Linked DNA regions of Cricetulus griseus. The protein of the gene in region 1 interacts with the protein of each later gene in a biochemical or structural test. Links are inferred from orthologs where the notes say so. Each region holds a gene or a part of one and is shown in the gene's direction. Other genes may lie near its edges.

Region 1 (7,409 bases):
GGCAGGAAATTCACAAGGTCAGGGTCACCCTTAGCTATGTAGCAAGTTCGTGGCCAACACAGATACATGAGACTCAGTCTCAGAAAAAAAAAAATCATAACTGACTTCGCAGAACTATTTTATCCTTCAGAATAGCAAATGTGTTTAATAAATATGTGCTCAGGAAATGGAGGCATTTGCCCTATTAATCTAGCCAAATAGACAAATTTATTTCTTCTCACCAAAATCTTTTTTTTTTATTAGTTCAAAATAGGAACAAGCTTGTTTCACATGTCCATCCCTTCTCCCTCTCCCTCCCCTCACCCTCACCCCTCCTACCCCACCCTGACCCTCACTCTATCCACCCTCCACTCCCCAGGCAGGGTAGGGCCCTCAACGGGGGCTCCGTAAAGTTCACCACATCATCCTGGGCTGGGCCTATGCCCTTCTCCATGTGTCCAGGGCAAGAACCCTTCACGTGGGATGGGTTCTCAAAGTTTCTTCTTACACCAGAGAAAAATACTAATCCACTACCAGTGGCCTCCTAGAGTGCAGAGGCTTCCTCATTGATATCCATGTTCAGGAGTCTGGATTAGTCCTGTACTGGCCTCCCAGACAGCATCTGGGGTCGATGTGTTCCCCCTTGTTCAGGCCAGCTGTTTGTGGGTTTCTCCAACCTGCTACCAACCCCTTCGATCTTCATTCCTCCCTCTCTGCAACTAAGTTCCAGAGTTCAGTTCAGTGTATAGCTGTGGATGTCTGCCTCTGCTTCCATCAGCCGCTGGATGAGGGCTCTAGGATGGCATAAAAAGTAGTCATCAATCTCATTTTAGACAAACATGGTATGTACTCACTCATTTATGAATTTTAGATATAGAGCAAAGGATTACCAGCCTATAATCCTCTTCACCAAAGAAATTAGGAAACATGAAGTACTCTAGGGGATAAATGCATGGACCCCAGGAATAGGAAGGGGCAGGAACTCCTGAGCTAATTGGGAGCATGAGGGTAGGGGAGGGGGAGCTGCCAGAAAGAGAGCAGGAGAAGAGGAGAGGAGAGGAGGAAATGGAGGAGCAGAAATATTGAGTTGGGGGAAGAATAGTGGAGAGCAGGATGAGTGATACCATATTACAGGGAGCCATTATAGGTCCAAGGAGAGATCTGGCACTAGTGAGACTGACTTCCAGAGATCTACAAGGATGACAAGAACTGACAATCCAGGCAATGGTGGAGACGATAACCTAAACGCCCTTCCCCTAAAATGAGATTGATGACTACTTCTCACCAAAATCTTAATGGGTTTTAAAATCAAAAATTGCCTTCCATTTGATTTTATTTTTTTCAGTCTTGTATGTTGTAACTGAAATTGATAATTCCTTAGTTACATCATTAAGGAAAGTAGCATCATATTTGACAACTTCTACCATTCCTGAGCCTTATGGTACAGATTAGATATGATTCCATTTATTAATTTTGATTTGTACAGAAATTTAAAATTTAATCCCAGCCTGGTTGGCTTAGCCTGTAATCCCAGCCATTTGAGAAGCCGAAGCAGAAGGATTGTCAGGGCCAAGGTGAACTTAAACCTTGTCTGAAAAGTAAGAAGTAGACAGGGATAGGGATATAGTGTATGGTAGAGTGGGTACCTAGCATGTTAAATAACCTAGATTCTATTTCTAGGACTGAGAATAAAGTAACATTTTAATATTTACCTAGTTACGTGTTCCTCTCATTTGTGTCTATATTTATTTTATTTTATTCTTTGGTTTTTTTGAGACAGGTTTATCTGTGTAACAGTCGTAGCTCTCCTGGAACTAGCTCTGTAGACCAGGGTGGCCTTGAATTCATAGAAATTCACCTGCCTCTGCCTCTCAAGTGCTGGGATTAAAGGCGTGCACCACCACCACCCAGCCTTGTGTCTATATTTATGAGAAGAGATTGTGCTAAGTATCTAGTTGTAGGACCACCTGCTCAGTATGTCTGCATTTTACTTTCAGTGCAAATGTGTAAGCATAAGTGATTGTCATTGTGTTTGTTGCTTGTATACCAGTCCTCCCTGAGAAAAGAACAATGGACTGGGGAATATGGTATGTTATTTTTGGCTTGTGCATCCTCTTCTGCCTTCATCACCTTGCTGTCATGTCTCCTCCCACCAGAAGTTAGATGGCTGTAACAAGATGACCTGTACCGGCTGTATGCAGTACTTCTGCTGGATCTGCATGGGTTCTCTCTCCAGAGCCAACCCTTACAAACACTTCACTGACCCTGACTCTCCATGCTTTAACAGGTTTGTATACATAGGGTTCCCTAGATTAGTGGTTAAAAAGTTGTATGGTGCAGGCAGGAGTGAGTGTGTGTGTGTGTGTGTGTGTGTGTGTGTGTGTGTGTGGTGTGTTGTGTGTGTGTTGTGTGTGTTGTGTGTGTGCATGTGAACTCGAGTTAACAGGACTGAGAGGGTATCAAATCTTTCAAAGTTGGAGCTAAAAGTACAGATATTTGCAGGATGCCTGATTTGTTACATGAGTGTTGGAATACAAATTCTGGTCCTCATGGTTGTATAGCAGGCATTCTCAACTGTCTTTCTAGCCTATCTGTAGTATGTTTTGATACCATTATGCAGGTTAGTTTATTTTCTAAAGTAGCTGGACTTGGAGAACTCTTCCTACATGTGATTTTTAAATCTTCTTGAAATGGGTTTATGATCAGAGTATACACCTCTTGAAAAACATTTATTTTTTACTTTTTTTCGTTTTTTGGGGTTTTTGTTTTGTTTTGTTTTTTTGGTGTTTTTGAGACGGGGTTTCACTATGTAGCTCTGGCTGTCCTGGAACTCTGAAGACCAGGCTGACCTCAAACTCAGAGATCCATCTGTCTCTGCCTCCTAAATGCTGGGATTAAAGGTGTGTGCCGCCACCACCTGGCTACTGTTTACTTTTTATTCTCACCTTAAAATTACCCTTAGCCAGGCAGTAGTGGTGAATGCCTTTAATCCCAGCAGTTATGAGCAGAGGCAGGCAGGTCTCTGAGTTTGAGGTCAGCCTGGTTTACAGAGTTCCAGGACAGTCAGAGCTACACACAGAAGCCCTGTCTCAGAGGGTTAAAAAAAAAAAAAAATTATACCTATGGGTGTTTTGCCTACATGTGTGTTAGAACACCACATGTTCACCTGATACCTTCAGAGCCTGGAATAACATATTGGATCCCCTGGAACTGGAGTTTACAGATGGTTGTGATGCCACCATGTAGGTACTCTTCCAGGTCCTCTGGAAGAGTAGCCATGCTTTTAATAGCTGAGCTGTCTCTCCAACCCCACTTACTCCACATTTTAAAAGAAAGGGCATATGTGATATAGGCTGGCCTATATTGATTTCTTTAAAAATTAAATGATTTGTGTGTGTAGTGCGTAGGTATATTTGTGTCATGGTGCATGTGTGAAGTCAGGACAACTTTTAGCAGTTGTTACCTCCTTTCCATCACATTCCATTCCACCATGGGTCCTGTGGCTATAACTCGGGGCAAGCATTTCAATCCTGTGGGCCATATTGGTAGCCCTGGCTTTGAATTCTCAATCCTGTTTTTTTGTTTTGTTTTGTTTGGGTGTTTGTTTGTTTGTTTGTTTGTTTGTTTGTTTGTTTTTCAAGACAAGGTTTCTCTCTGTAGCCCTGGCTGTCCTGGAACTCACTCTGTAGATCAGGCTGGCCTTGAACTCAGAGATCTACTTGCCTCTGCCTCCCCAGTGCTGGGATTAAGGCATGCACCACCACCCAACAGTAGTAACAGTTTTGACAATGATACTTCATGTGATATACTGCATGTGGTACTCCAGTGAGAGAACCATGGTCAGACTGTTCCTTTGTTAGTGTGCTATCATTTAATGTTTTCCCTTTTGTTATTAGAAAAGAATCTAAGGTGATTCTTTGAAACAGTGTGGATTATTGTTCAACAGTTCTCCAAAGTTATCAGTGTTCTTCTCTATTGGTTTCTGTAGAGAACCTACACTCATCAGTGTTATAAAACTCAGAGAAACTGAAGAACCTAGTCCTTCTGTGAAGTATTACAAGTTAGTGTTGGAAATGGCACTAGCTTTTGAGAGGGAAAGAAACCAAAGGACCTCTACACAGCATGCCACCAATGCAGGAGCAAGACTGTAACCAGAGAGCATGGAAAGATTAGCACTTGTCTGGCTTGTTTACTGAAAGAGTTCAGTTTCTTCCAAACTGCATGACTCCCCACTCTTGACTTATTTCACAGACCATATACATTCCCATTTGGTAATGCCCATTTCCTCATATTTTATAAAGTAAAAAGAGGGATGGGCTACAGTTTAGTGACAGATTCCTGGCATGCAGTACTGGATTTGTTTTGTTTTGCTTTAACTTTTTGTTTCTGTTTTTGTTTGTTTTGGTTTTATTTTGTTTTAAATGGAGATCTTTCTACACATCCGTGGCTGGCCTAGAAATCACTAAGTTGAACTCACAGAGATCTTCCTGCCTCTGCCTCCCAAATTCTGGGACTAAAGACAAACACCACAATGCCTAGCTGACCAATACTATTCTTTCAAACATCTTGCAGCTTGTTTATAAAGACTTAGATTTCAGCCCTCCTTAAAGAAATGGTTAAGGAAGAAAATTTATGCAAAGGTGTTATCAGAAGGGTAGAATGTTTTAGAAAGAAGGAAAGAGATTCAAATAAGTATGTACCTCTGTTTTATGCTTTCAGACTGTTCCATGCTGTGGATGTTAATGGAGACGTTTGGGAAGATGAAATTGAAGACTAGTTCATTTCTTCTGCTCGCCGTATAGAAATGGAATGGTTTGCCCTAATCTATCGTCAAGTACACAAAGAAACCTTGCAAGATGTTTAGGGTGCCATATATTCACTCTTCCTGTGTAGAAGGAAGAACAGGGTTTATATTTTTCTTTGGTACTACTGATTAAGGCACATAGATTTTTTTCCATGTAACATAATTCCGAACAATTATATACCAAAGGTTCAGAAATGAAAACTATAGATTAAATATTATAATATGCCCAAACTGTGGATAGTTATAAAGTAAATATTTATTTTCTTCCCCAAGCTTTAGGTTAGGGAGAGGGTCAAGAGTTAAACTTTCAGACTATGTCCAAGAAGCCTGACATTGTTGGAGCCCTCTCAGTACTATACCTTGCAGCTAGGGACAGTCACAGCCCTATTGACACTGCACTGAGAGCCTGACCCATTTGCTGTATACTGCAAACTCTTTCTTCAGTTCCCTTTGAAGGGAGCCTTCTACTCTGTAACTGACCAGATGTCCCAGTGTCATTCTGATTTACCACTTTCCAGAATAGAAATTTACAATAAATTTAAAGATACTGTTAGCACACAAGCCCTGTGGGTCACTTGGTATTTATGAATGGTGTATTGAATCCACTAGTTTAGAGCCAACTGTGGGCTTGAATGATTCTGGTTCAGAGCTCCTCCTTCTGCTCGCCTGGACAGAAGGCTCAGAGCTGTCTCTGCCACATTTTGTTCTCCACTCTCTCCTTTGCTCCCCTGCCTTCTGTTGGCAAGGGCAGTTTTAGTCTTGATTTCAGCAGTGTGTTGTTTCCTCTGCTGGAGTAGGAAAGAGCCACCATGGTTCTGGCCCCAACCTTGTGAACACATGGGTCCTCTAGTCACCAATAGGAATTTGGCTCCCCCCCTTAGATGCCAGTGTTTGGAGTGGTATTTATAGCTTGATAGTTGGATTTTATTTCTGGGTTTTACTGGCTTTTTGGAAAACTGTCTTCCTCATGATTTGATAAGTGGCTTGGTAGCCTCTTGGTGATATTTTGAAAATGACAGTAATTGACCTGCGTCTTGTGAACACATGTTTTCTACTTTAACACTGAAAATTAAGGAATTGCTTAATTGTCAGCACAGACTGATTCTGGATTGTCAGTGAGGATGCTTAATCTTAAATAAAAATAGTTTAAAATTCATCCTACAATTGAAATAGAGATGCCCTGTTGCTTCTGAACCAAAGCACTGATCAAATTTAAAACTAGCTCATGTTTCTGTCTTTTGGTTGGTGTGTGTATGTTTGGTGGCTGTTTGATTTTGTTCTAGAGATTGATCTAAGACCTCAAGCATGCTGAGCCTGAGCCTTGAGCCCTGCTACTGAGTGACCCCCCCCACACACACACAAACTTATCTTAAATCAAGAAGGAATAGTCCCAGAACAGCACCTCCTTTTTTTTCTTGGGCCTGTGCCTTTTTTTACTCCTATTTTATTTGAACATATTCTTTTCATGGGCTTCCATCCAGCACATTTTATGTAATCACGAGTTAAAAAATAAATTGAAGGCAAGAAATGATTTGCTCAAATATTGAGTAAGTCTCTGAGAGAAATATGTTGGTAGGAATTCAGTCTGGTATGTTTCAATGTAGCCACTGACATGCCCTGGCTCATGAGCATGATAGCAATCGTTCATTTAATATTAGCTATTGTGCATTTTGTTGTTTATAAGTGAGAATGGTGCACATCTTTAATCTTAGCTCTTAGGAGGCAGAGGTAGGTGGCTCTCTGTGAGTTCAAGGCCAACATGGTGTACAGAGTGAGTACCAGGATAGGCTCCAAAGCTACAGAGAAACCCTGTCTCGAAAAACCAAAAGAGAGAGAGAGAGAGAGAGAGAGAGAGAGAGAGAGAGAGAGAGAGAGAGAGAGGTGAGAATGAAGCCTTTACAGAATTGCCATGAAAGAAACAGGAGAACCCTCACTCATATATAGCCACTTACTCACTTAAAAGAGCCAACAGTGATTTTAGTCTTAGACTTGTTTACTCATCTCACTATAGCTTTGTTTTTTTTCCTTAGGTACAAAATCTTCACCCTCAATTTAACACAGACAACTGGGCTTCTAAATATTATTTTTAAGGCATCTAATTTTGAGATGGTATTAGTAGAATTCTATTTTCTTAATTTATTTTTATGTGTATGTGTGTTTTGCCTGCATGTATGTCTTCTGTACACCACATGTGTGCCTGGTGCTTGAGGAGGTCAGAAGAGAGTTCAACTGGAACTGTAATTACAGATTGTTACAAGCCTTTGTGATTTTGGACTGCTTTTGTCAACCGAGATACATCTTGGTTATGCTTTTCTTTTTCTTTTTAATTGCTTTTAATTATTTGGGAATCTCACATTGTGCTCACCTCCCAGTCTACCCATGTCTACCCCCCCCCCCAATAACCTCTCCTAACTCACCCAAAAGAAAAAAAAGCAAGTTCATTTTGTGTTGTCCATCTATTCACTGGAGCATGGTCAAATTCCTAGTGGCCAGTGCCAACCCCCCCATCCCCACCCCTCATCCCTACCCCCCCTCCCCCACCCCCCAGGGAAGATGAGTCTTTCCCCTGCCTGCATCCATGCCAGAAGCCATCCGCTGAAGAGAACAGTGCTGTGCCTGGAGCAGG
Region 2 (8,136 bases), on another chromosome or scaffold:
TTCTAATAAGTAAACTACATTTCTTTAGTTTTTCCAGTTCATGCCGTCTTTTTCACTCGAGGCGCTCAGGTTTCACATACATGAATTTCTTAAAGAGTTCTGTTGGTACTTAACTGCCCACAGAACCATCTCAGAGAAATAAAGCAAGGGATGATGACTGGGCTCTAAAGCCCCTCAAGCCAGGCCTAAGCTCGCAGATGTTCCCACCTTCATCTCAGCCCTGCAGCAGGTTTCACACAGTACATCTGGAAGAGGCCCCCAGATGCTAAGCAGCTCACTGGACTTTGGTTGTCCAAAGACTATGGCAGATACAGCCTTGTAAAGTACAGCTGAGCTTGACCTGACTTCTAGTAAACAAAGCCAGTTCACTGACTAGGGATACTTTACAGCCTGAAGGATACAAGTGATTACAAAGTACCAGAAATGGCAAAAAATGCAAAGAGGTGAAGTTGGGAACACTGAGAAAAGTTACAGAGTGAGATCAAACAAACAAAAAACCCCACCCTAAATCTACAGAATAGATTAGTGAGTTTGTATTTACATTGTGTGTGTGTCTATATGTGTGTGCTGGCTATGAGTGTAGCTTTGTAAGTCTTACCCAGGCTTACACAATAACCAAACTCAGAAACTTCTTAAGCAACTTAAAAATAATGGGTGTATAATTAGGTAACATGGGCAGGTCCATGGAAAACATCTCCCAAACTAAACAGATGAGGGAGGGAGGGACAGAGGGAGAGAGGGACGGGGGGGGGGGAAGAGAGAGAGAGAGAGAGAGAGAGAGAGAGAGAGAGAGAGAGAGAGAGAGAGAGAGAGAGAGGAGGAGTGGGAACAATCATTATATAGCTGATGTCTGCTTCTTGGTACTATTTTTGTGGCACCTTCTGGGGGAAATTACTAATTTTTTAGGGGATAATTTGCATTACGTTAGACTTATATATCACCTGAAGTGGTTATTCATCACACTCTCCAGTTTCAAACACAGACATTGCAAAAACAAATGGAAGAAAATCAAGTGCAAAAGCAGGGGGTCTTGTGGGGAAGGGTTTTACATTAAAACAGCTTATAACTAGAGCATTGCTCCTGGGTCAGGGTGGTGACATCATGGTACCCTGCCCTGAGCTAGAAGAAGCACCTGTTAGTAAACTGATGGAGGTAGCTGAGTCCTTGGTGCTATGGCAGCAGATACTTCTCTTTTTAAACTTACAGATCCTTTCACTGTCTCCACAGTCAGTTTAACAACAGGGGAAGAATTATGTGACACATGCCTGTTAAGTTCTATTTTTTGCTCTTCTATTGCCTGGTGCTAGAGATCAAATCCTGGCCCTTGAGCATGTGGGCAAGCACTCTATTACTGAGCTGTGTATCCCCAAGCAGTTTTCTGATTTTGCCAAGAACATTTGTCTTTATTGTGTATATTTTCACCTGAATATTCAGGCCTACTGATCTCTCCAGGCTCAGTCCAATAACTTCTCTTGGTTCAGATCCATCGCCACACCTCCAAGCTGCATTAATGACCCCACTGTTAGTTTTCTTTTAACTTTAAACAAAATTTTATTACACAAAGGTTGTCACACACTTGGATGCTTCTCTACTTTGCATAGTTATTCTCTCTCCACAGAAAGGCTGCTTCTGAACCACTGATGTTTTTTAATTGATAGTTAATAATGCTCCAATCTCATTTCTCCCTCCTGTAATATAGTACTTTCCATTCTTTCTTTTTCTTCTTCTTCTTTTTTTTTTTTTTTTTTGAGACAGGGTTTCTCTGTGGCTTTGGAGGCTGTCCTGGAACTAGCTCTTGTAGACCAGGCTGGTCTCGAACTCACAGAGATCTGACTCCTTCTGCCTCCCCAGTGCTGGGATTAAAGGTGTGTGCCACCACTGCCCGGCTGTACTTTCCATTCTATTTTCTTTCTGCCAGCTACAAACTGAAGATTACAAGTGCATTCCCACTTGCTTAAGCATCTGGTAGTTCCTAAATATTCTGATCGGGACTCCACGAATCCAAACACCAAAGATTCATGGAATTTTTGTTAACCATTAGCCTTTGGGCCCTCAGGCTATTTTTAGGGTATTTGAATTTCCCTCAGAAACTCACCTTTTATACACAATCAGGGCTGCATCCCAAACATGCCCAAACTTCAAACTGGCTGGCTGCTGCTCCACTGTCTCATCATGTAAAGTTGGGAGTCTTCTGCGTCGCCCTGCCCACCTGTACCCTTTCAGTCAAATCAAAATGTTGGTGTGTGGATGCACACACAGATCACAGTCCCTCTGGAGACTGGACTTTGTCCTAACTGGGAAACCGTTCCCTTCCTCTCATCCAGGTGAACTTCAGTAATGGAGTCCTCTGACAGACCTGGAACTCCTGGCAGGAAGTAAGGAGACTAGGCTTTGGACATACCAACTGGGACAGGTTATAGTCTCTGTGTAAGCTTGCCCAGTGTGTGTCTTGGGAAAGTTACACGTGTGGCTTATAGTTCTGAGTAGCTCTTTTACCCAAACTTTTTTATATGGAGGAAAACTAGTGTGTTGGCTCACTTAGTTATTTTTCTTTCTCTTGAACACTGGCTCATCTCACAGAGCTCTGCCATTCTTGCTTCTTCTGTGAACTCATTCTCCCAGCACTTTTGCCCTGGACACTTGTGGGAGAGGAATGCACAAATTCCTTTGAGGTTCCATCACTGGAACACGTTCTCAGGAGCTGCAAACAGGAAGTTTTTGTACTTCTGTCTACTTTGTGCTTGGGGCAAAACTGGTCTCCACTTAAGATTCTGCAAAAAGAAACACAAGAGTAGCGCAACCTTCATGATTCCTCCCTAAAAGTTTTTATGAGGCCACTGCCATAGATCCACCCAGGGCTTCTCTATCCAGAACTGGTGTTTCTCATGCAAGGCAGAGCCTGCTGCCAGAAATGTCAGGTTATAGACCCCCCTCCCCCCCCAATCGCCTCACTCACTACATCTTGAGCGGGACATTTCAAAAATAGTTTGGGATTTCTAAGTTTTCAAAATGTCCAGAGGGCAGTCCCCTTTGGCATCGACACTGCAGGATGGGTGCCAGAGATTAGCTCAGGTTGGTCCCCTGGTCGCAAAATCCCCTCCACCTCCCTCAGAGACCTGGACTTCTTCACCTTGCCACTTCCTTTAGCTCACAGAGGGGCCAGCAGCGGCTTCCCTTTGCCCCAGTGCTTGGCCTCCTCAATCACACCATTCATTTCGTGCCTCTCGGGGCATCTGGGAAGCCTCAGCCACGCGCCCGGGCGGTTGCTCAGGTACGGGATCCCCTGGCAACCCCGGGGCCACTAGCCTCAGGGGCGGGTTGTCCAATGGGCAGCGTTGCCCCGGAGGCGGGCCCAGGCCGGAAGCCACCCGCGGCCCCGCGAGACCGCGCCCCCGCCTCCTCCCTCTCTTCCAGTACAAGCTCGGCGGCCAAGGGCGCAGGGGCCAGCCCGCCGGTCCCCGTCGCGCTCTTTGTCCCGGCCGCGCGCGGGCGGACTCGTGCGCATCTTACCCCCCCTCCTCATCCAACCCTACCCCCGTCGGTGGAAAGGAGGCGCGGCGGGGACGCGCGCGCGGGGGCGCGCAGGAGCAGCTCGCTCCCCGTCCGCCAGGCGAGCGGCGAGCACGCGCGGCCGCCGCGCCCGCCCCTCCCCCCTCCCTCCGCTCGCTCGCTCTCTCTCTTCGGAACTTGCTGACTGCGCGGCCGGGAGGAGCCGAGCCGAGCCGAGCCTAGCCGGGCGGCGGGAGGCTGAGCGCGCGGGGGGCTCCCGCGTCCCTGCCTCGGCCGGCGGAGCGCCCACCCCACCGTGGCTCCCGGAGCGCGGGGCGGCGCCACCCTCCGGCCGCAGCGCGGCACTGCACGGCCGCCTGCGACTTTCGATGTTCCACACTCCCGGGCCGGAGCCTCGGCGGCGGCTTTTTTTCCGCCCCCCCCGTTCCCCCCCCAGCTGCCTCCATTTCCTCAAGGAAGGCTCCTCGGCGCTCTCCCTCCCCCACAGCGTAGCGGCGCACGAGCGGGCCGGGGCGGCGGCCGAGGTAAGGCGGCGGGGCCGGGGCCCGCGTGGGGGGCGGCGGGGGCGGGGGCGGCAGCTTTGTTCGCGCCGGGCGCCGCGCTCCTCAGTCAGCCGCGCTCGTCAGTCAGCGGCGCGGGCGGCGGGTCCCGCATCCCCCGGCGGGCGGGGCGGCGGGCGCAGTGGCGCGGTCCCCTGCGCGGCCCTCCCCACAAAGGACCGCGGAGCTGCGTGGCCCGGCGCTCGCCCCGGGGCGGGCCGCGCCAATTTGTTGCACTTCTGGGGGTGGGGGGTGGGGGAGGGCTTTTGTTTGTTTGTTTGTTTTGCCCTCGGGCTTTTGGCCGCTTTGCGGAATTTTTTTTTTTTTTTTTTGACAAAATGTCGGTCGGTGAGGGAGGAATTGAGCGGGGGACGTCGGTGGCACCGGGAGCTTTGCAGAAGGTGCAGTTCGGATCCTGCCCTTCCCCGGGTGGCAGCTCCGGCTTGGCCGGGTGAATCCTCGCCGCTGGCCGTGGGGAAGGCGGTGGGGCGGCTGCCAGTTGATTTTTTTTTTTTTTTTTTTTTTTTTTTTTTTTTAATTTTGAGTGCTGTGTTCAAAGGCTTTCGGTGCGCACGGGAGGACCCGCCACCGTAAATAAGCATATGGGCGACTAACAGGGTATGTTTCCCTCTGGGAAGGAGGATTTGGTAGCTCAGACCGGTGTCAGCCTGTAAATATTTAGACGATATTAGTGACTTTTGAACATTCTCCGAGAGATCTGTTATTTACAGTTGTCATATGTTATTAATGCCCGTTGCCCAAGTTCCTTGGCAAATCTGTTTCATGCCTTCTGAGAAAGTAGACAATTGATAGATTGTCTTAAGGGATGGGGGAAAAATGTGAGTGGGTTTTCTAACTTGAGTTTGGTAAATCCCTCAGCGACTGCCTTATAAGACACATCGGCCTCCCTGTAACCTTGCTATACCTTAAGTATGGGGGCAGTCGAATCTTTTTCAATAAAAGACTAATAGAGAGAAGAACATGCTGCTGTTTATTATTATTATTATTATTATTATTATTATTATTATTATTATTTTAAGATTTAACATTTCTTGACGGTCCCTTCTCTCCTTAGAAGTTTTCCCAGAGATAACTTCACCAAGATGTCCAGTGATAGGCAAAGGTCGGATGATGAGAGTCCCAGCACCAGCAGTGGCAGTTCAGATGCTGACCAGCGAGACCCTGCAGCTCCAGAGCCAGAGGAACAGGAAGAGAGAAAACCTTCTGCCACCCAGCAGAAGAAAAACACCAAACTTTCTAGCAAAACGACTGCTAAGTTATCCACTAGTGCTAAAAGGTAATGTCTCCAAGGCAGGACTCACATTGTCAGGTTGCCTTCTGTCCCATAGGGTGGTTTTGTTGGTTTAACAACAGTGGCAATAGTTCAGAAATACTTCTCCATCAAATGTGTTTGAACTTGGATGAGCTGTCATTCTGTATGTGGTATATAAGCAGCCTTCCTACAGCTATTGACTTTAAAGCAAGGCTACTTTGTTCTGTACTGTGGTAACTTGAGGAGCTGTCTCAAATGGAGCTGAGGGTGATCCTGACAGATGAAGAGGGTAGCAAGGAAAATTTGGTGAACCCCCAATTAGATGGTACGTTGGAGAGGTTTCCTCTTGTGAGTCATGCTTGAGTGAAACTGACAATTCTAGAGAGCAGCAGTGCCTCTCTCCATAAAACTGAATGGTCAGAAATGGCAATATTTACTAGAAAATTGTTAAATACCAGGCTTGGCTATATTGGGAAGCAGGTCTTACCGAGTGCCTTAAATTGGTCCACAGTGTGTAGGACAAGACTTGAAATCTTGCAGCACAAGTGTGACTGGGTAAATTATTGTTATCCCTCCTGGTGATGGCAGATGAAACTGAAAAGTAGCCAATTACAGTTTTAGATGTTATTCGGTGTCGTGGTTGTCCTCCTTCTTCACTCTAAAACTTGTAGATATGTTTGACAGGCTAACTCAAAAGCAGGGGAAACATAACCAAGCCAGAGTTAAAGATCCCTTGTTTTCTGTTGATTTTCATATTCTGGGATGACAGATATGATCCTGCCATTGGGACTCTGAGTGATAGTCATATTGGGATACCTAGAGAAACTAGCAGTTAAAATGTGCTCACAGCATTACCCAGCACAGGTGTTTTTTTGTTGTTGTTTTTAATTGGTCATAAATGAAGGAAGAAAAATGTAAAAGCTGATGGAATGTTGCATTCTTCTTGTGAGCCAAACTCTTGGTATGGATTTTAACCACCAATCAAATGCTAACAGCTTTAGAATATTTTATTGACGAGGAACAGTGTTTGAAATAATCTAAATTGCCCGATTCATTGTAATCTTGTGGAGGAACGTATTAAATATGTCTCAAGTTTTGAAAACATCCTAAATTTGAAGAAAACCAGAGTTGCCTTTGCCTGTAACTTGAGCTTATATATTTGTCTTCTTCCCTGCTGCAAATTTATAGAACTTTAAAGGTATATCTAAAAATCAGAGGCAAACAGTTACAGTCAATGTGAGTGCCAGTTTGAAATTTTTCATTGGCAAACATGTTTATAATTTTTAAACTTTTCTGACAGATAAAATATCGCCAAAAACTATTAATGTGCTCTAGTAGCAGCCTATTCATTTTTAGCTCAGTAAAAAGTGACTTGAAATCATTGTCAAAATCTCTGGTGTTTTCCCTCCTCCCTTTTTGTCTCATTTGCATATAAGCTTGAAAAGAGAATTTCTTTGGTAAAGAGTGGTTTTTAGCAGATTATATATCCTTCACTTAGTAGTCAGAAAGGACTATTTCTCAAATCAGGTGTAAATGACACACTTATTTACAATAGCACGTGAGAAAAAGAGCCGCAAAGTTTCTGCTAAGGGATTTGGGTTATGCCTCTGAGAACAAAGAGGAAGCAGCCATGTTAGCATTACTGAAGGCAAAGCCAGCCTTGCATTTAACTGCATGGTGGTAGAGGGCAGTGTAATTCCCCGGTTATTCTGTAGACTGCCTCAGATCCTTTTTGTTTGTTCTCATTTCACTTACAGAATTCAGAAGGAGCTAGCTGAAATAACCCTTGATCCTCCTCCCAACTGCAGGTAAGAAACACATTTGTTGTTTGCATTTCAAGTTGTGGAAAAATATTGAGAAGGTAATGATCTTGCCTGCATGTATGTGCAGCCTAAGAAGCTGGTTTCATTTGTTTTATCTTGTGCACTAAACTAAAATTATCTGGATTAACTAAAGATGGGAGAAAAGATAGCATGTATACATTGTGAACTTAGGAACACAGGACTTTGGCTTCTGAAATTAGTGTGGATGGTGCTGATTTTGCTTGTATGTCTGCAGAGCATTTTTGTTCACAAGTATATTTCAGTGATTTCTGAAATTTTCAGCTTTAAAGAACTGTTTGTGTGTAATCTGAACTGACCTCCAAATTTAGAAATTGCTAAATGCGGTGTTAGAAAATGTAAGTGTGGTAAACAAGAGGGTAATCGCTTCTGTTTGATTTATTAGTAACTCGCCTTAAGGATAAATTTTATAGGCTAAACTAATAGTTTCAGTTGTTTTCCGGAGGGTGCATTCTTGCAATTATTTACATTTTAAGCAATTGTCCTAATTACTCAAAATTTCTTAGTAAGTAGAGAGTAAATTGTAATTTGGAAAAAATAATTTAAGTTTATTGTGCTTAATAATGTTAAGATGCATCAAAAGTAGTCAGGGACATTTTTATCAATTTTTTTTCATTTCATCTTGCATACTATACTTTTATTTTTGAACAGTGATTTTTATGGATTATGGAATGTATCCAATTAAAAGATAAATTTAAATAATTTGCATAGAGATACTTATGATTGAGTGTCTGGTGCACTTGTGGCAATGTTATAGTTTGGTGGGAAAGGCTTTAGTGTCTAATCTGTTTCTGCTACAAATTCTGTGTTTCCTTGTGTTGATCCGACAAACCTCTGAATCAGCTATAGACATAAATGTAACCATTGACCTCTTACTGTGTACATTAATTAGATCTGTTGATAAGGTGATCTGATTCTGAATTTTCCAATGAATTTTTTGGAAATAAGCAATCATTGTGCTTATTAAAAGTAG
Region 3 (7,409 bases), on another chromosome or scaffold:
GCGCCGCGAGGTGAGTGGGGCGCGGGCGGGCGGGCGTGGCCGCGGCCTGAGCCGCGGCGTGGGGCGCGCGGGACCCCACGCGGCGAGGGCAGCCCGGCGAGATCCCCGCCCCCCGCGGCCTCGGCTCGGGCTCGCGCCCGCGGCCCCGCAGGCCTCCCTGGCCCTGCGCGTGCCCGCCGGGGCCCGCGCGCCCCTCCCCCCCTCCCGCAGAGTGTGGCCCTCCTCCGCCCTCGAGGACCCCTCCCCTCTCCGCTCGCGCCCGCCGCAGCCGGGAACTAAGTCTCCGCGAAGTCCAGGATGGATGTCGTGGTGCAAAGTGCCCGGCTGTCCCGAGCTCTTCCCTAATTGCATAATTGCTGCACGAGGTGTCCGTGCGGGCGAGGGCCCGCCCGGGAGCACCGGCTGGGTGTGTGCGTGATGCCCCGGGGTGGGGGGCGTCGCACTGGTCTTTTGTAATGCCTGGTGCTTGGCACAGTTTGGCTCCGAAGCAGGTTTTCCTCTGGCTTCTCTGCAGCCCCCGCTGGCCTGATTGGAAACTGGATTTCCCCCTATCCCCCCTCCCCCCCTTCTCTCCTAATGTTTTGATCCATTTACCCTTTTCCAATTCTAATGAACATAAAGCCTGGCTTCTTGGTGGCTCTTTTCCCACGACTAACCAGAAATACCCAATCCATCTTCCCTAAAGGAAATTAAGGCCGCATTAGAGACATCATCACCCTGGGCTCGGTGGCTTTTGGACCAATTTGCTGGTTTGCAGGACTCTGATATCGCCACCCCTGTATTGTGTAATTTTGAGGGTCTGCGCAAGTATTTCCATTTCAAAGTACAAAAGGATGTGCTAGGACTTACCTCTGATTACCTTACCGTTCTGAAAGATTTTTAAAAGCTCGTCTTAGTTTTAAATCCTTGGATTTTTGAAAAGCACGCTCTGGAAATGTGATAATCGAATCTGAATCTTGGGAATCCAAATATTTGTCTTTACTCAGGCAGTTGGGATGCTCCTGGGCGCTTTGCCTTTCGTATGTGGGCGATGATGAAGATGGAGTGTTTTCATATGTCATACCTTGAGCTGTTTTCCCTAGGGAACAGCACACTTTCCCCCCCAATCAGGTGCTCCACTGTTGTTTCCCCCATAAATATCTTTTCAGTCATTTGAAAAGCTGGATAGCGCTGCATGTTCGGCATGTAATATAAAATATTTTACATTTTTGGAAAGTTTAGAAATCCCAAGTAGAAAAACTACAAGATGCCCATGACAAGTTTTCTTTTTTAAAATCATGACATTTAATGAATAGCAATGTGGACTTGACTATTGTTGGTTTCATCAATGGGATTTACAGACAGATCCTTTTGTTGTTATGGAACAGGTGAATTTCACTCACTATGCTGGTAATTTACAGAGTATAATCACAACATAGAGTACCTATCAAAGAAAGCATAGAAAATTAGTATGTGTAAATTCTTAATTGTAACGTGTTTTTGGAAAATCCACCATATTATTTTATGTTTTAGTTAGGAACTAAGGTTCACTTTGAATCTGAAATGAAATACCACTTTAGGAATCTTAAGATCTTTGAAACTGTTATTAGAAGACATATTTGTGTGTAGAGCGCTTGAATTTAGCTTCCTTTAGGTTAGGTAATTGTATGGAATTAGATCTTTACGAATTAATTTTAATATTTAAAAGTTTTTATTCAGGAACTTATTTATACTTTAGAGAGACAAGTCACCATTTTTATACATATAGTTATTGGAATGATCTATAGAGTATTATCTTTCATAAAAGTTAATTGTGCCTGAGTGTGCAGTCACTTTTATTTTCTGTAATCAAGGATTCAGAAAACACTCAGCAGACATTTCTTTAATTCTTGACATTTGAAAAGGTGATGCTAAACTTTTATTTCTAAATGATTTAATAAGGATTATCAGTGGCCCTGGGTGGGGGTGGGGGTGAGGGGTGGGATTTGTCAGTTGTAGGTCAAGTTTTGGATGAAATAAGGTATCTTAGATCAAAAGTGTAGATAATTTTTTAGCTATAAAGCTATAGAAATTATGCTCCTATTTAGGCATTTAGACACTTTCTGTGGTGATGTTTTGGATTGAACCCAGGCCTTCCCATATACGCTAGGCAAGGTGCTCTACCACTGAGCCACACCCCCCAAGCCTGTCACTAGTAGTTTTAGTAGCTTAATCTTCTGGTATTCTGTAGTAGTTTTAGAAATTTCAGTCTCAGATTATGGTATTTTACATCATTGAGTAGTCTATTCAGTAGTTATATAGTTGACATATTATTAGGTGTATGTAAATGTACTTAATACTGAACCGAGTGTGTGGTTTTATGACTAACTCAGTACATAGCCATGACTTGACATAGCAGTCATAGCAGTGGCTTCAGTGTAAGGTAACTATTTTTCTGTGGCTCTTGTGTTTGCCATGTGGTGTGATAGATTGCCTGAGGTTTAGGATACATAAAACAATTTTTCACTCTTTCACATCTCTTTACATTTTTTTTCCAGCAGCATTTTGCTCCTAGAACATCTAACCCTAAGAGTGCTTCTTTTTCTTTCCCTGTATATATGCTCTATCTAGCATCTATAGTGTACATACTTACAAGTTTTTTTTAACTTTTTGTAGATTTGAACTCAAAGAAGCAAGCTGAAAAAGAATACAAATATTAAACCCAATAATAATAAGCTTAAAGTCAAATAAAAATGGAAGAAAACCCAAGAAATATACTCAGACTTGTAGAGCTAGGTGTGAAACATACTGATATAAAATTTCAGTATTCTATTAAGTGACTTTATTGCTCATAAAATGTGTCATAGCTACGGAGAATGATGGTCTCCATTTACAGAAGGTAGGGGAGCAGTCTGGTTTCCTGTGAGTGTTTGAGAGCTGTTTGGACAAAGGAACTATTAGGGCTGGGGGTGGTGATGCTATATGTGGTGTCTTTTGATGCTTCATCTCTGTGCTTCCTGACTCTTCCAGTCCTTTGCTGTGTTTATTGTCTTATAAAAAAAAGTTTGTCCTATAAAACTTTCAGTCTGCTAAAGGCCTGTGTTAAGAAGCCACCATGTCTTTGAGCAAACTCTACGTTGAACTGAGGATGATGAATGTTGATTAGTTATTGGGTCATACCTTTGGACTAGGTAATGATAGTAATGCATTGTGTTTTAAGTGAGGCTTTTGTTTTTGTGTGCACCGAAGCATACTTTTGACCATATCAGGAACAGTTTTATTTCAAAGTCTTAATTTAAGAGTAACCGAAAAGAGTCTTTTTCAAGAGGAATTTAGATAAATCTCTCTCTCTCTCTCTCTCTCTCTCTCTCTCTCTCTCTCTCTCTCTCTCTCTCTCTCTCTCTCCCTCTCTCTCTCCCTCCTCTCTTCTCTTCTCTCTCTCTCTCTCTCCTCTCTCTCTCTCTCTCTCTCTCTCTCTCTCTGTGTGTGTGTGTGTGTGTGTGTGTGTGTGTTTTGATGATGATGGTAGTGGTGATGGTGATGACAATAGTCACAGGCAGTCTTGTTTTTTTTCAGAGACGTATATCTGAGCCTTAGCTACATGATACTCAGAATGGTTACTGGTGGCTTGAAGCCCTGTAGAATCTGGATATGGGTTTTGTCAGTTCAGTTCTGAGTCTGTCACTTTGCTGGGTCAGACAGGATGTGATAGTAAGGATCAAACTGGGGCTGATTATGATGGAATGAGATTGGAGAAGGGATATCCTCTTCACTCAGTGCATTTTTGTGTCTGCTATCTAGGTTATAACGGCTACCTAGGTATCAAGGTATTGAGGAAATTGAGTTGGTAATCGGAGCTGCTCCAGGAGCATGAACCCAGAGCAAAGTGAATTTCCAACCTCCAGGGCTATTTCCTCCAGACTGGGGAAAAAAATGAATCCATCAGTGTCTCAGTACAGTCTCTATCTCTTGTGAAACATGGTTGCTTAGTGGAGCTGGGTCAGTGCCCATACTCTCCTAAGCCTCAGTTCTTGTTTGGAATCACGTGGCCTCTGTTCCGTTATCACAAAGGTTACTTAAAACAATTTCCCAGCTTAGAGGATTTTAACCTTGGCTCAGCTCTGAGGATGTATCGATTGGATGTGAGCGTGGCAGTGCCCCTGTTTCTCAGCCCTGGGCCTTTTTGTGATGACTTGCCAGGACACTTTGCAGGTCTGTTTACCTGTCCAGACTTCTCATAACTGAGCCCAGAGTGCTTAGCCCAAAGCCTGAAAAAATTAGGCTCTCAATCCTTCTTTCTCTCTCATTTTAAAAGATTTATTTATTTTTATTTTCTGTGTATGATTGTTTTATTTGCATGTATGTCTGTGCACCACATATGTGTCTGGTGTCCAGCGAGGTCAGAGAGGGTGTCATCCCTTGGAGCTGGAGTTACAGCCCATTGTGAGCCACCTTGAGGGAGCTGGGAATGGAGCCCAGGTTCTGTGCAAGAGCAGCCAGTGTTCTTAACTGCTGAGCCAACTCTCAAGTCTCTTCTGGTTTGTCTTATGCCAGTTCTTTTGAGATGTAATTTACCTTATAAAGTTAGCCTCCTTCATTTTTTGTATATACTGGAGCTTGAACTCTGCTGAACTTGCACTCTGCCCAAACTATACCTCCACCATCTTAAAATGTGCAGCTTAGCCTGGGGATTGTCAGTAGCTCAGGAGTAGAGCACTTGCTTTACACAATGGGACACTGGTTACTGTCCTCAGAACTACAGAAACAAAGCATAGCCACGCTGAGGCTTTTCTGCTCTGACCTCCACTTAAGAGCATTATCACTCACAGGAAAGTTTCTGCTCAGTAAAAGTCACTTCCCTTTTCTCTGTCTCTATGTTCCCATGGATTTTACTGTCTAGATATTTCTTACAAATGAGCTTGTGCAGTCTGTGGTCCTTGTGGCTGTACTGGCTTCTCTCAGTTAGATTCAGGGTCTTCCTGCTGAAGCATGAAGATACCGGACTTCATTCCTTTTTGTGGCTTAGGTATATTGTCATGTGGATGAACCACGTGTTACCCACTAGGTGGAGAACATTTGAATTGTTTCCACTTTTTGTCTTGTGAATAAAAGTGCTACCAATATTTGTGTCTACATTTTACATAAATTCGTAGAAGAAAACCTTTGGCAACCCCCAGAGTTATTTGTTTTGTAATTAGGCAACTCCCATTTTTATACCTAATTTTACTTTTGTTTTGTAGTCTCATTTTCTCTCCATTCTTGATGTACCTTGTTGTAGTCCCTCCCACAGCAGACTAAATGATGTTTCATCTTTAATCCAGGATCTAAAATGTCCACTGAGGCACAGAGAGTTGACGACAGTCCAAGCACTAGTGGAGGAAGTTCCGATGGAGATCAACGGGAGAGTGTTCAGCAAGAACCTGAGCGAGAGCAAGTTCAGCCCAAGAAAAAGGAGGGGAAGCTATCCAGCAAGACAGCTGCCAAACTGTCAACCAGTGCCAAAAGGTAACCAGCTGCTGGCAGCTCTGGATTTGCTTTCAAGTTATCACCTTAAACTCATATTTTCCCTTGTATTTAGTCATTTTTCCGGGATGAAGGTTATAGAGTTTACAGGTTCCCCCCCTTAATATAATTTTTAAAATGTGTTTTTAATTGTGAAAAACTCTTAAAAGCCAATTCAGAGTCATGACATATTATAAAATCTGTACTTGTAGTGCATTGATATATTTCTATCTTGTTAGAAAAACATGAGCAGGACATTATAAAAGTATAATTTGATTTATGGTTATTTGATCATGAATATACTTTTCTATTCAGTAACACAGAATAGACACTGAGAATCTCTTGACTAGGTCTGGGAGTGGGGAGATGGCTCAGTGGGCAAAGTGCTTGCTGCTGAGTCTGGATTAACATCATCCATATAAAAACTGGGCATTATGGCACATATCTGTAACCACAGTGCTGTGAGTAGGGGGTGGGAGAGTGGAGTGTGTGTGTGTGTGTGTGTGTGTGTGTGTGTGTGTGTGTGTGTGTGTGTTGGACACAGGTGGATCTCTGTAACTCACTGGCCATCAAGTCTTTTCCAGTCAGTGAGCTCCAGGTTTAGTGAAGAGATCCTATTTCAACAACCACAAAAATCAAACCAGGATGAACAGGGAGTGATAGGGGAAATAACTGATGTTGAACTCTGACTTATACATTCGTTCTCTCTCTCCCTCTCTCTCTCTCTCTTTCTCTCTCTCATGTGCACACACATTCTCTCTGTCACACACACACTCATGCACACATGCATACACATACACATCTGTTGAAGCAATTATTAGTGACAATTTAGTCTCTGATCCTCCCAGTTGGTAAAGTCAGAAATGCTGGTGTTAATGCATCTTGATTTCATTACATTAGGTGAGGGTTGGTCTTGATTCAGGTTTCCCCTCTCCCTAGAGAATGGATAAATCTGGAAAGGAGGTACTTGGATGATGCTCTGTCGATACTTCAACCTCTTAAAGTGATTGACATGTTGGTGGGCTTAGAGGGAATCTGCTTTGATAGCATTATATTATAGTCTGGTGCTTGGAAGAAAATTTGAAAGGCAGATTACATTCAGTGGACTCATGCTTGCTAGTGATTTTATGTTCTTTAATACCTTTTTAACGAATAAAAATGGCAAATAGGAAATGTAGGTGTTACTTTAACTTTCTTCTCACACATGTAACTTCAGGTACAGGGAACTCTTTGTTGAATGATGCCTTTATAAGACATTGGAAGATATGAATTAGGGAACTGCTTTCCAAAAAACCAAAGACTGTGTATCCTTCTAACTGAGTTCTGTCCACAGGCCTGGGATGAATCTTTGTAGACCCTCTGGTGAGAGTTATGGTAACTGGTCATTTAAGACATTCATACTAACTAAATGCAGGGTATCCAACTTTGATATCCTGTTGTGACATTGTGGTCTACAAATGTTTTGGGCCACAGTCATAGCTGTCATAGATGCAGGCAGCCTATGTACTCCTGCCTGAATATTCACTTTTTCCTTGCCAGGATTTCTGACCATTTTCGAGAGAATTATATAAAGTCAGATAGCTCTAGATATTTACCAGTTTAAAATGGAACACGCTGGGGTGGGAGAACGTTTCTTTTTGCTGTTACACTCCATGTCCAGGAGGCCTTAGCAGGGTGACACCTGCTCCTGCCAAGTGGGACTAGGGTAGGGAGGATAAGAAAGGTTAGGAGTGGAGAAATGTAACATTTGGGTAAAAGCTGGTTTGGGGAGGATGGGTAAGACTGTCCAAATCCAGATCTTATGCAGTTCCATCTAAGAGCTCTCATCCTGCCCTGAGCTGCTGACGCTGAGGTTTTCAGGGCTGCTTCAGGCAGGGGAGAAAGAGGACCAGGCAGGTCTGTGGGGCGTAGTCCTGCTTGTCTGTCTGCACTCCCTATGACTGTTAATC
Region 4 (7,409 bases), on another chromosome or scaffold:
TGTTTTTGTGGAAATTTTTATACTGGAAAAGTTAAGGTCAATCCAGAGAGCACATCAGATTCTACGAGGACTGCTCCAATGACAGGGCTTTTGTTTTTGTTCTTTTGTTTATTGTTTGTTGGTGGTTTATGCTTGTATCATAAATGACTTGAACTCATCTGTGCTGTCTAAATTCTCTTTAAGTCACATGTGTTGAGTTGAAGTTACTGCCAATGGTGGCTTCAGGAATTATAGTCAGCAGTGTACCATTAACAAAGTGAGCATATCCATGGGTCACATGCACCTTGGAGTCGCAACAAAAGCCACCAGTGGGGAGAGTCCTGTTGACTAAGTGAGATGCTGCCTGACAGTCGGCAGACTTGGCTGCACTGGCAGAATTGTTCTGTGGCTCGCTACACCTGCTCCTAGTGCTTTAAATCTGTGTTGGGTCAGAAAGCATTATAGGGGAAAAAAAATACAAGGTTTACATTAGAAGCAGTTTTCACTTTTCTTGAGTGTATGTGACAAGAAACAACCATCTTTTTTGCCTTGTAAAAGAGTTTTATTATTTTTACTTTCATTTTGAACCATATTTTGGCTGCTTTAACTGTCTAAGAAAATCTGTAAGTGGGGCTGAAGAGATGGCTCACTGATTAAGAGCACTTGCTACTCTTCCATCCAGAACATCATATAGTGTAACCATTCGGGTTGGTGACAGTTAAGTTTCTTATTGTGGAAACCAAAGTATTTCCTGTTAATGCAAGCAACAATGCTGGAGTGTGGACACCTGCAGTCCCAACTCATGGGAAGATGGGGCAGGGAGTCTTGAATTCAGAGGCAGCCTGTGTTACATAACAAAGGGGGAGAAGGCAGAAGGCTAGTAGAAATAAACTTAGCTGACCTCAAGTGTAAACCTGCTCAGCCATTTTAGTGAGAAATGGATGGGCATCTGGGTGTGATGGTGCATACCTATCATGCCAGCATTTGGAGGCCTTGGCAGGAGGATCACCCCCCCCCTTTCTCATAGTCACATATATGTAAGTAGAAATAAGTAATTTTTCAGAGTCTTTCCCTGCACCCCTTGTGAAAGTGATACCAATTCTGTGTACTCGAAGATGAGTGACTGTACTGATATCTAACCTAAAGAAAGTCTCCAGCCCAGGCTAGCCTCCTGCCTTAACCTAAGGAGGATTACAGTCTACCACACTGGCTTTGGGTCCCTGGAAATAACACTAAAGGGTTTTAAAGGCTGTACTGTCTGAGCCGGTTCTCTCTACTGGTGACCATCACCATCAGTGACGCCTGTGAGCCAGTCTTAGATTCCCTCAGTTCCCTTTAATTCCTGAGCACTGCCAAGTCTGACACAGTTTGAACTGGCTTAATGACTTGCTCAGGTCACAGGGCATGTGTTTGGGGCTATGTATGAGCTCTTGCTGCAACATGTCTATCCCAGTTGGTCAGGCCCATATTTTAAAATCTCAATGTTGTTAGTGTTTTCACTCCCAGCCTGTTCTCTTTTCAAAGCTCACTCTCATCATGTTATTTTCATCCTTCTCTCATCCTAACTGAAAGGGAAAAGAAACAGTGTGGTTAGGTGTAAGGAAGTAGAGTCACAGGTAGCCTTTTATCTGCTCTCCTTTCCACTTCATCTCTGTCCCCTCATCTGAAAGTCAACCCTGCTTTAAATCAGTTAATGTAAATTTTTTGAGGACAGTTTGTCTTATTCAGCCCCTAGTCATGACCGTTTGGCACTCTGCCCTGTACATGAGCATTCATTAAGAGTTGAAGCAAATCTAGTATATTAAAAAGAGCAGTTTTGAGCCTGGCAGTGGTGACACACATCTTTAATTCCACCTCTTGGGAGGTAGAGGCAGGTGGATCTCTGAGTTTGAGGACAGCCAGGGAAGCTACACAGAGAAACCTGTCTGGGGGATTGAGGGGAGTAGTTTGTCTGCATTGCCATTTGCCTGCATGCAGTGTGTACTATTTCCCAACTCTTGTCCTTGCCATAGTATTTTCCTTACTGATCAGAGCAGGTAGGTGTATTGCACTCTCATAGGTCTTAGAATTGGAGGGTAAGCTATTACCACTTTTGTTAAGGTGCTTGGATACAAAGCACTCTAGTAGCCAGGTCGATGTTTAAGGATACTTACTGTAGCCAAGTGAGGGTCTAGCCTAAGCATATTAAACAAGAATAGGGTTTGGTTAATGGCTTACTGGAGTTAAAGTTTAACACTGACGTGAAAACTGATTACATCCTTGACATTCTCCTACCTCACTCATTACTTCATAAGGTAAAAAGCATAATCATCAAGCTGGGATTATGGATGACCCAGTGTTTGTGGGAGCTGAGTCAGGAGATCATGACTTCCAACGCAGCCTGGGCTACTCTGTCTCAGGGTAAATCTATTGCTAAAGCAAAAGTGTATATATGTATATGTTCATTATGTGTGCCCGTGGAGACTGAAGTCAGCGTTGAATGCCTTTATCTCAACCTGGAGTTCACCAATTTGCTAGCCTGGCTAGCTGACCAGCCCTACCAGGGTCCAAACTCTGCCAAGCACCTTAAGTTAGGGCAAAGATTAAGGAGATAGAGCACAAGGAAGAGTCAGTCTATGGGTCAGAAAATGAGATTCTTGGTACCAGAAATAGTTACAAGAGATGATGTAGCCCTGAGAAAACTTAAATGAGGACATGATCTGTCCTAGGTGTGGTTGAGGAGGTTTTATTGTAGAAAAAGGGGGAGAACAGGCAGGGACATCTGGAAGAGTCCAGACTGAACCTGGCCAGCAGATTGAACAGGACCATGATCTGGAGTCGGGGGGGGGGGGGGGGAGACGGACGACACGGGGATGACAAGCAAACCAAGAGAGACCCATAGTCAAAACAGCTGAGTTATAAGGTAGAGAGGCTGTGGGGGGGGAACAGGAGGGGGAACTGAGCAGTTTGTCCTTCCTCTCTATCTGCTCAGGACAGCCAGGGGGGATAGAAGCCCAGCCTCTGGGAGGGAGGTGAGAAGTGCAGGGAGAAGACACACAGCCTAGTGAGACGTAGCTCAGGTTTCTTTGAGATCTAACAGTCACCAACCGAAGCCATGGTTTTAATTGCTGTTTTACCTTACATATTAAGACATTTTAGAGTTGAAGGTATTGTGTCTAGTTATAACTAGTAGGCTTAGCATGGACCAGACGTTCCTCTGTCATCCCTGATGGATGGTGAGTTTATGGCAGTCTTTATGAAGAATCCAGGCATTAAACCAAAGGGGCAGGGCAGGGCTTCTTTCCTTTTCTGAGACAGTGTCACCATCCTTTATCTGCTGGTGTATTATTTCACAGTGCTGGTCCCAAAGGTGACAACATCTATGAGTGGAGATCAACCATTCTTGGACCTCCAGGATCTGTATATGAAGGTGGTGTATTCTTCCTTGATATCACTTTTACACCAGAATATCCCTTCAAGCCTCCAAAGGTAAGAAATCTCATATGTATTCTCAGATTTGACTGTTCCTATGAGAGACACATTGAAGTTTTAAAAGTGTAATCACAAAAGCTAAATTCCTTCCATGGTTGTGTTGGTGTCCTACCAATGCCTTCTTTTTTTTTTTTTTCTTTTTTTTCTTTTTTTTTATTAAATTATTAATATTTTCACATGTACTTTCCCTCTCCCTCTCCCTCCCCCCACCCCCATTCCTTCTCCCCCACTACCAATGCCTTCTTACCTATGGATACTCCATTTAGGTAAAGTCTGTGATTTAGATAGACAGTCTAGATATGATGTGCGGGTCAGAAAAGATCTCAGCTTCTTGGGTATACATGTTTGTAGTTTTAAGTGAATATAATAACTATTGATTGGGTTGACTACTTAGTTGGCAGTAGGCATTTCTAGAGGTAAGTGCTTAAAACATGTGCTATTTATTTATTTATAGTCAAGCTTACTAGATTTGAAGCTTACTCAAAAGCAGTGTATTACTACCAGCTAACACAAGAGGTCAGCAAACAACCAACAATTCAAACTTAGAAATATCCATATTTAAAACATTAAAATTAAGCCAAGCATGTCATCCCAACATTCTGGAAACAGCAACAGGCAGGAGGATTAAAGTTTGCAGCTAGTCTAGGATATATAGTACAAGGCTAACCTATTAAGAAAAGAAAAACCCTGCCAGGCGGTGTTAACACACACCTTTAATCCCAGTAGATCCCAGGGAGGCAGAAGCAGGCAGATCTCTGAGTTTGAGGACAGCCTAGTCTAGAGTGAGTTTCAGGATAGCCAGGGCTACACAGAGAAATGCTGTTTCAAAAATAACAACAACAACAAAAAAGAAGTAAAGAAAAGAGAAACCCTATAGAAGAGAGGAAGTGTTGAACTCCCTTTGGCTTTGGCAGTGGGTATTGCCTTAAAATGAAAGGAAATGGTTTGAGTGAGCTCTGTAACCTCACAGTCAAGTCTTCTACATTTTATGGATTAGCCAGCTGAAATGTAGTAAAAAGTCTCCTACCTGAATGCTGCTTAACAATAATCTTATTTTTAGGTTACATTTCGTACAAGAATTTATCACTGTAATATTAATAGCCAAGGAGTTATTTGCTTGGACATATTGAAAGACAACTGGAGCCCAGCACTAACCATCTCGAAAGTCCTCCTCTCTATCTGCTCACTCCTTACAGACTGCAATCCTGGTAAGGGTCATAATCTGTACTTTATTTCTTACTAAATGAAAAGGTACTTGTTTTCCACATAAACCAAGAACCAAGTTTTCAAAGTATGTTTTAATCAAGAGTTTAACCCACTAGTTGGAAAATGCAGCCACTTTATTATTCTGTGTTCAGCACTGAGGCTGGGTGGGTGGCTCTATTGCCTCCTTGTTTAGGTGGTGGTTCAGTGAGCACTTGCCCCACAGCCAATTCTCACTTTTTAAAGAGGTATTTTTCTGCCAAGTACTTGGTGATTACAGAATTACTGGGACTAATCATTTTAAAATAAAAAGAAATTATTTCAGAATTACAATCTTACTGGGACTACTCATTTATTTTTTAAAGGATCTTTGCAAATGTAATTTTGGCATTTTTTTTTATTTTCTTTAAGATTTATTTATTATGTATACAACATTCTGCCTCCATGTGTGCCTGCAAGCCAGAAGAGAACACCAGATCTCATTATAGATGGTTGTGAACCACCATGTGGTTGCTGGGAATTGAGCTCAAGACCTCTAGAAGAGCAGTCAGTGGTCTTAACCTCTGAGCTATCTCTCTAGCCCAGGTCTAATCATTTTAAAATAAAAAGAAATGATTTATTTTTCTGCATAAACATATAAATTTAACTAGGCCTTCCATTTTCAGAGAAATACATTTAGTTGGGTGGTCTGGGTTTGGCCTTTTCTAGGTATACCGACATAATAGTGTCGATTGCACCAGCCACAGACTTCACAGCATCCACAGTGCTCTAATTGTGAGCAGAGCTGGTCCTGGCGCCTTGGGTATCCACACTTGTAAGTTTGGTCATACTCATGAAGAACAAGAGTGCCACTTGCTGGGAGAGAAGGAGAATAAGAAAATAAAGCCAGGCCACTCCGTTTTTTAGCAAGACTTTTCCTAACCTTCCTTGCTTTACTTTTTATTGAGATTAGAAGGCTGGACTGGAGAAATGGCCCAGCTATTAAGAGCAGTTGTTCTTGGAGAGAACTTGGATTCAAGTCCCACACCCACATGGCAGCCCACATCTATAGCATCCATACACATAAATCTTTTCAAAAACTGTTTTTAATGATTTGAAAACACCATGGTGTTTCAGACATAGGGCATGGTTATAACTGCTGTGTGTTTATATCTAAAGTATCTGATTTTCTTTCTCCAAAGTAATCTACCTATTTTTCTTCCAGCTGACCCTTTGGTGGGAAGTATTGCCACTCAGTATATGACCAACAGAGCAGAACACGACAGAATGGCCAGACAGTGGACCAAGAGATACGCTACATAAACTGGGTTTTCAGTTCTTCCATTATCTGTCTGTCACAGAAGAGAGCTGCTTATGATTTTGAAAGGGTGGGGGAGGGTGGGAGTTGGTAAAGAGTAGGGTATTTCTATAACAGATATTATTCAGTCTTACTTCCTAAGATTTTGTTGTAACTTAAGGTATCTTGCTACAGTAGACAAATTGGTAATAGTGACTTTTAGAGCTGTCAGTTTTGCAAGATTAGCTGACTTTTAGTACAACAGAAAAGAATGTATGTGTAGACACTTGGGTTCCATTGATTGTAGTCTACTGTAATTTCAAAATCAGCTTAAATTTGTATAGGTTACACACATGGCCATTTATGTAAAGTCCTATTTTCTTGTTTAAAAAAGTTTGAATTTGTTTTTCTTAGAAGGAAACAATGGTATTTAACAGTTTGTAGAGATTGTTACCTCATATAAATATAAAATGGACACCTGGCTATGAGATACCATGTAGGAAACGAGTAGTTAATGTATTTTATTTCATTTGCAAATTAAAGGTTGAATCAGGATTTGTGGAAACCTGTAGTGAAATACCTTAAGCTGTTAACCGTAGGCGTGGAATAGCAAATGCTCAGTGGACTGGTTATGTGTTTTAGACTTCTTACGTCTGCATTTGTTACTGTGCTAATAAACAATATTAAGAACAACCCTGACCCTTCTATATTCATTGCCTCTCTGGAGTCTTTGCTTCTGGAGCAGGTTAAGGAATACATGCTACTAACATATGCCAGGACAGGTACTTACACGCAGATTTGGAGGGATCTTAAAAAAAAAAAAAAAAAATAGAATTGGGCATGGTAGGGCACACCTTTAATCCAGGAGGCAGAGGCAGGTAGTACTCTGTGAGCAAGTTCCAGGACAGTCTTCAAAGCTACACAGAGAAACTCTGTCTCGAAAACCCAAAACCCAATAGGCAGTCAAAGTCAGCTAAGCTTCAAAGATAAACTTGCTCCCTGTTTCTGAAAGCATTATCTGATTTGCAGATGCAATGGCAGTGGGCACATAAGAAATGAGTTGCCCTGGTCAGTTGGTGCTACCACCTTGCACGGCAGTTTCTCTGACTCAGTAGTACTGCTGCTGCAGTTTGTGGGTGGAGGCCAGAGGATTAGAGATCAAGGTCATCCTCAGCAATACACTGAGTTTGAGAGTAGCCTAGACTACCTGAGATCATGTCTCAGAAAAAGGAAAGCTAACCCAGGAGATGTTTACTCTTATCATTTTAAAAACATGGTAACTAATTCCATTGTATTAAAGCATAAGATCTAAATGCAGTCAAGAGAAAAAAATAGACTGCTTGTCAGGGATCTATATACAATACCTAAGAGGAAAAAGCTAATAGATACATACCTTGAAGGGCAGGCTAGAGAAGTGACATAATATCCATGTGATAATTAAAAAGGAGAAAAAAAGTTTTTTGTTTTTTTGTTTGTTTGT

What was found.
Region 2: the proteins of Rnf14 (region 1) and Ube2e3 form a complex in vitro, tested with the Homo sapiens proteins (2 studies listed by BioGRID). The link is inferred for Cricetulus griseus from reciprocal best matches to the Homo sapiens genes RNF14 and UBE2E3.
Region 3: the proteins of Rnf14 (region 1) and Ube2e2 form a complex in vitro, tested with the Homo sapiens proteins (2 studies listed by BioGRID). The link is inferred for Cricetulus griseus from reciprocal best matches to the Homo sapiens genes RNF14 and UBE2E2.
Region 4: the proteins of Rnf14 (region 1) and ubiquitin-conjugating enzyme E2 E1 form a complex in vitro, tested with the Homo sapiens proteins (3 studies listed by BioGRID, with this or other methods). The link is inferred for Cricetulus griseus from reciprocal best matches to the Homo sapiens genes RNF14 and UBE2E1.

Annotation. Positions count from the first base shown.
Region 1 is NC_048595.1:199,331,898-199,339,306, reverse strand, and holds the end of Rnf14 (E3 ubiquitin-protein ligase RNF14), read left to right. Parts: intron 1-2,135; coding exon 2,136-2,266; intron 2,267-4,698; coding exon 4,699-4,756; 3' UTR 4,757-5,947; downstream 5,948-7,409. UniProt on the Homo sapiens protein: E3 ubiquitin-protein ligase that plays a key role in the RNF14-RNF25 translation quality control pathway, a pathway that takes place when a ribosome has stalled during translation, and which promotes ubiquitination and degradation of translation factors on stalled ribosomes.
Region 2 is NC_048599.1:96,287,408-96,295,543, reverse strand, and holds the start of Ube2e3 (ubiquitin-conjugating enzyme E2 E3), read left to right. Parts: upstream 1-3,897; 5' UTR 3,898-4,034; intron 4,035-4,646; exon of another isoform or gene 4,647-4,667; intron 4,668-5,124; 5' UTR 5,125-5,152; coding exon 5,153-5,346; intron 5,347-7,079; coding exon 7,080-7,130; intron 7,131-8,136. UniProt on the Homo sapiens protein: Accepts ubiquitin from the E1 complex and catalyzes its covalent attachment to other proteins. In vitro catalyzes 'Lys-11'- and 'Lys-48'-, as well as 'Lys-63'-linked polyubiquitination.
Region 3 is NW_023276807.1:175,954,478-175,961,886, reverse strand, and holds part of Ube2e2 (ubiquitin-conjugating enzyme E2 E2), read left to right. Parts: exon of another isoform or gene 1-10; intron 11-5,279; coding exon 5,280-5,463; intron 5,464-7,409.
Region 4 is NW_023276807.1:175,390,624-175,398,032, reverse strand, and holds the end of ubiquitin-conjugating enzyme E2 E1, read left to right. Parts: intron 1-3,314; coding exon 3,315-3,447; intron 3,448-4,510; coding exon 4,511-4,658; intron 4,659-5,857; coding exon 5,858-5,955; 3' UTR 5,956-6,628; downstream 6,629-7,409. UniProt on the Homo sapiens protein: Accepts ubiquitin from the E1 complex and catalyzes its covalent attachment to other proteins. Catalyzes the covalent attachment of ISG15 to other proteins. Mediates the selective degradation of short-lived and abnormal proteins.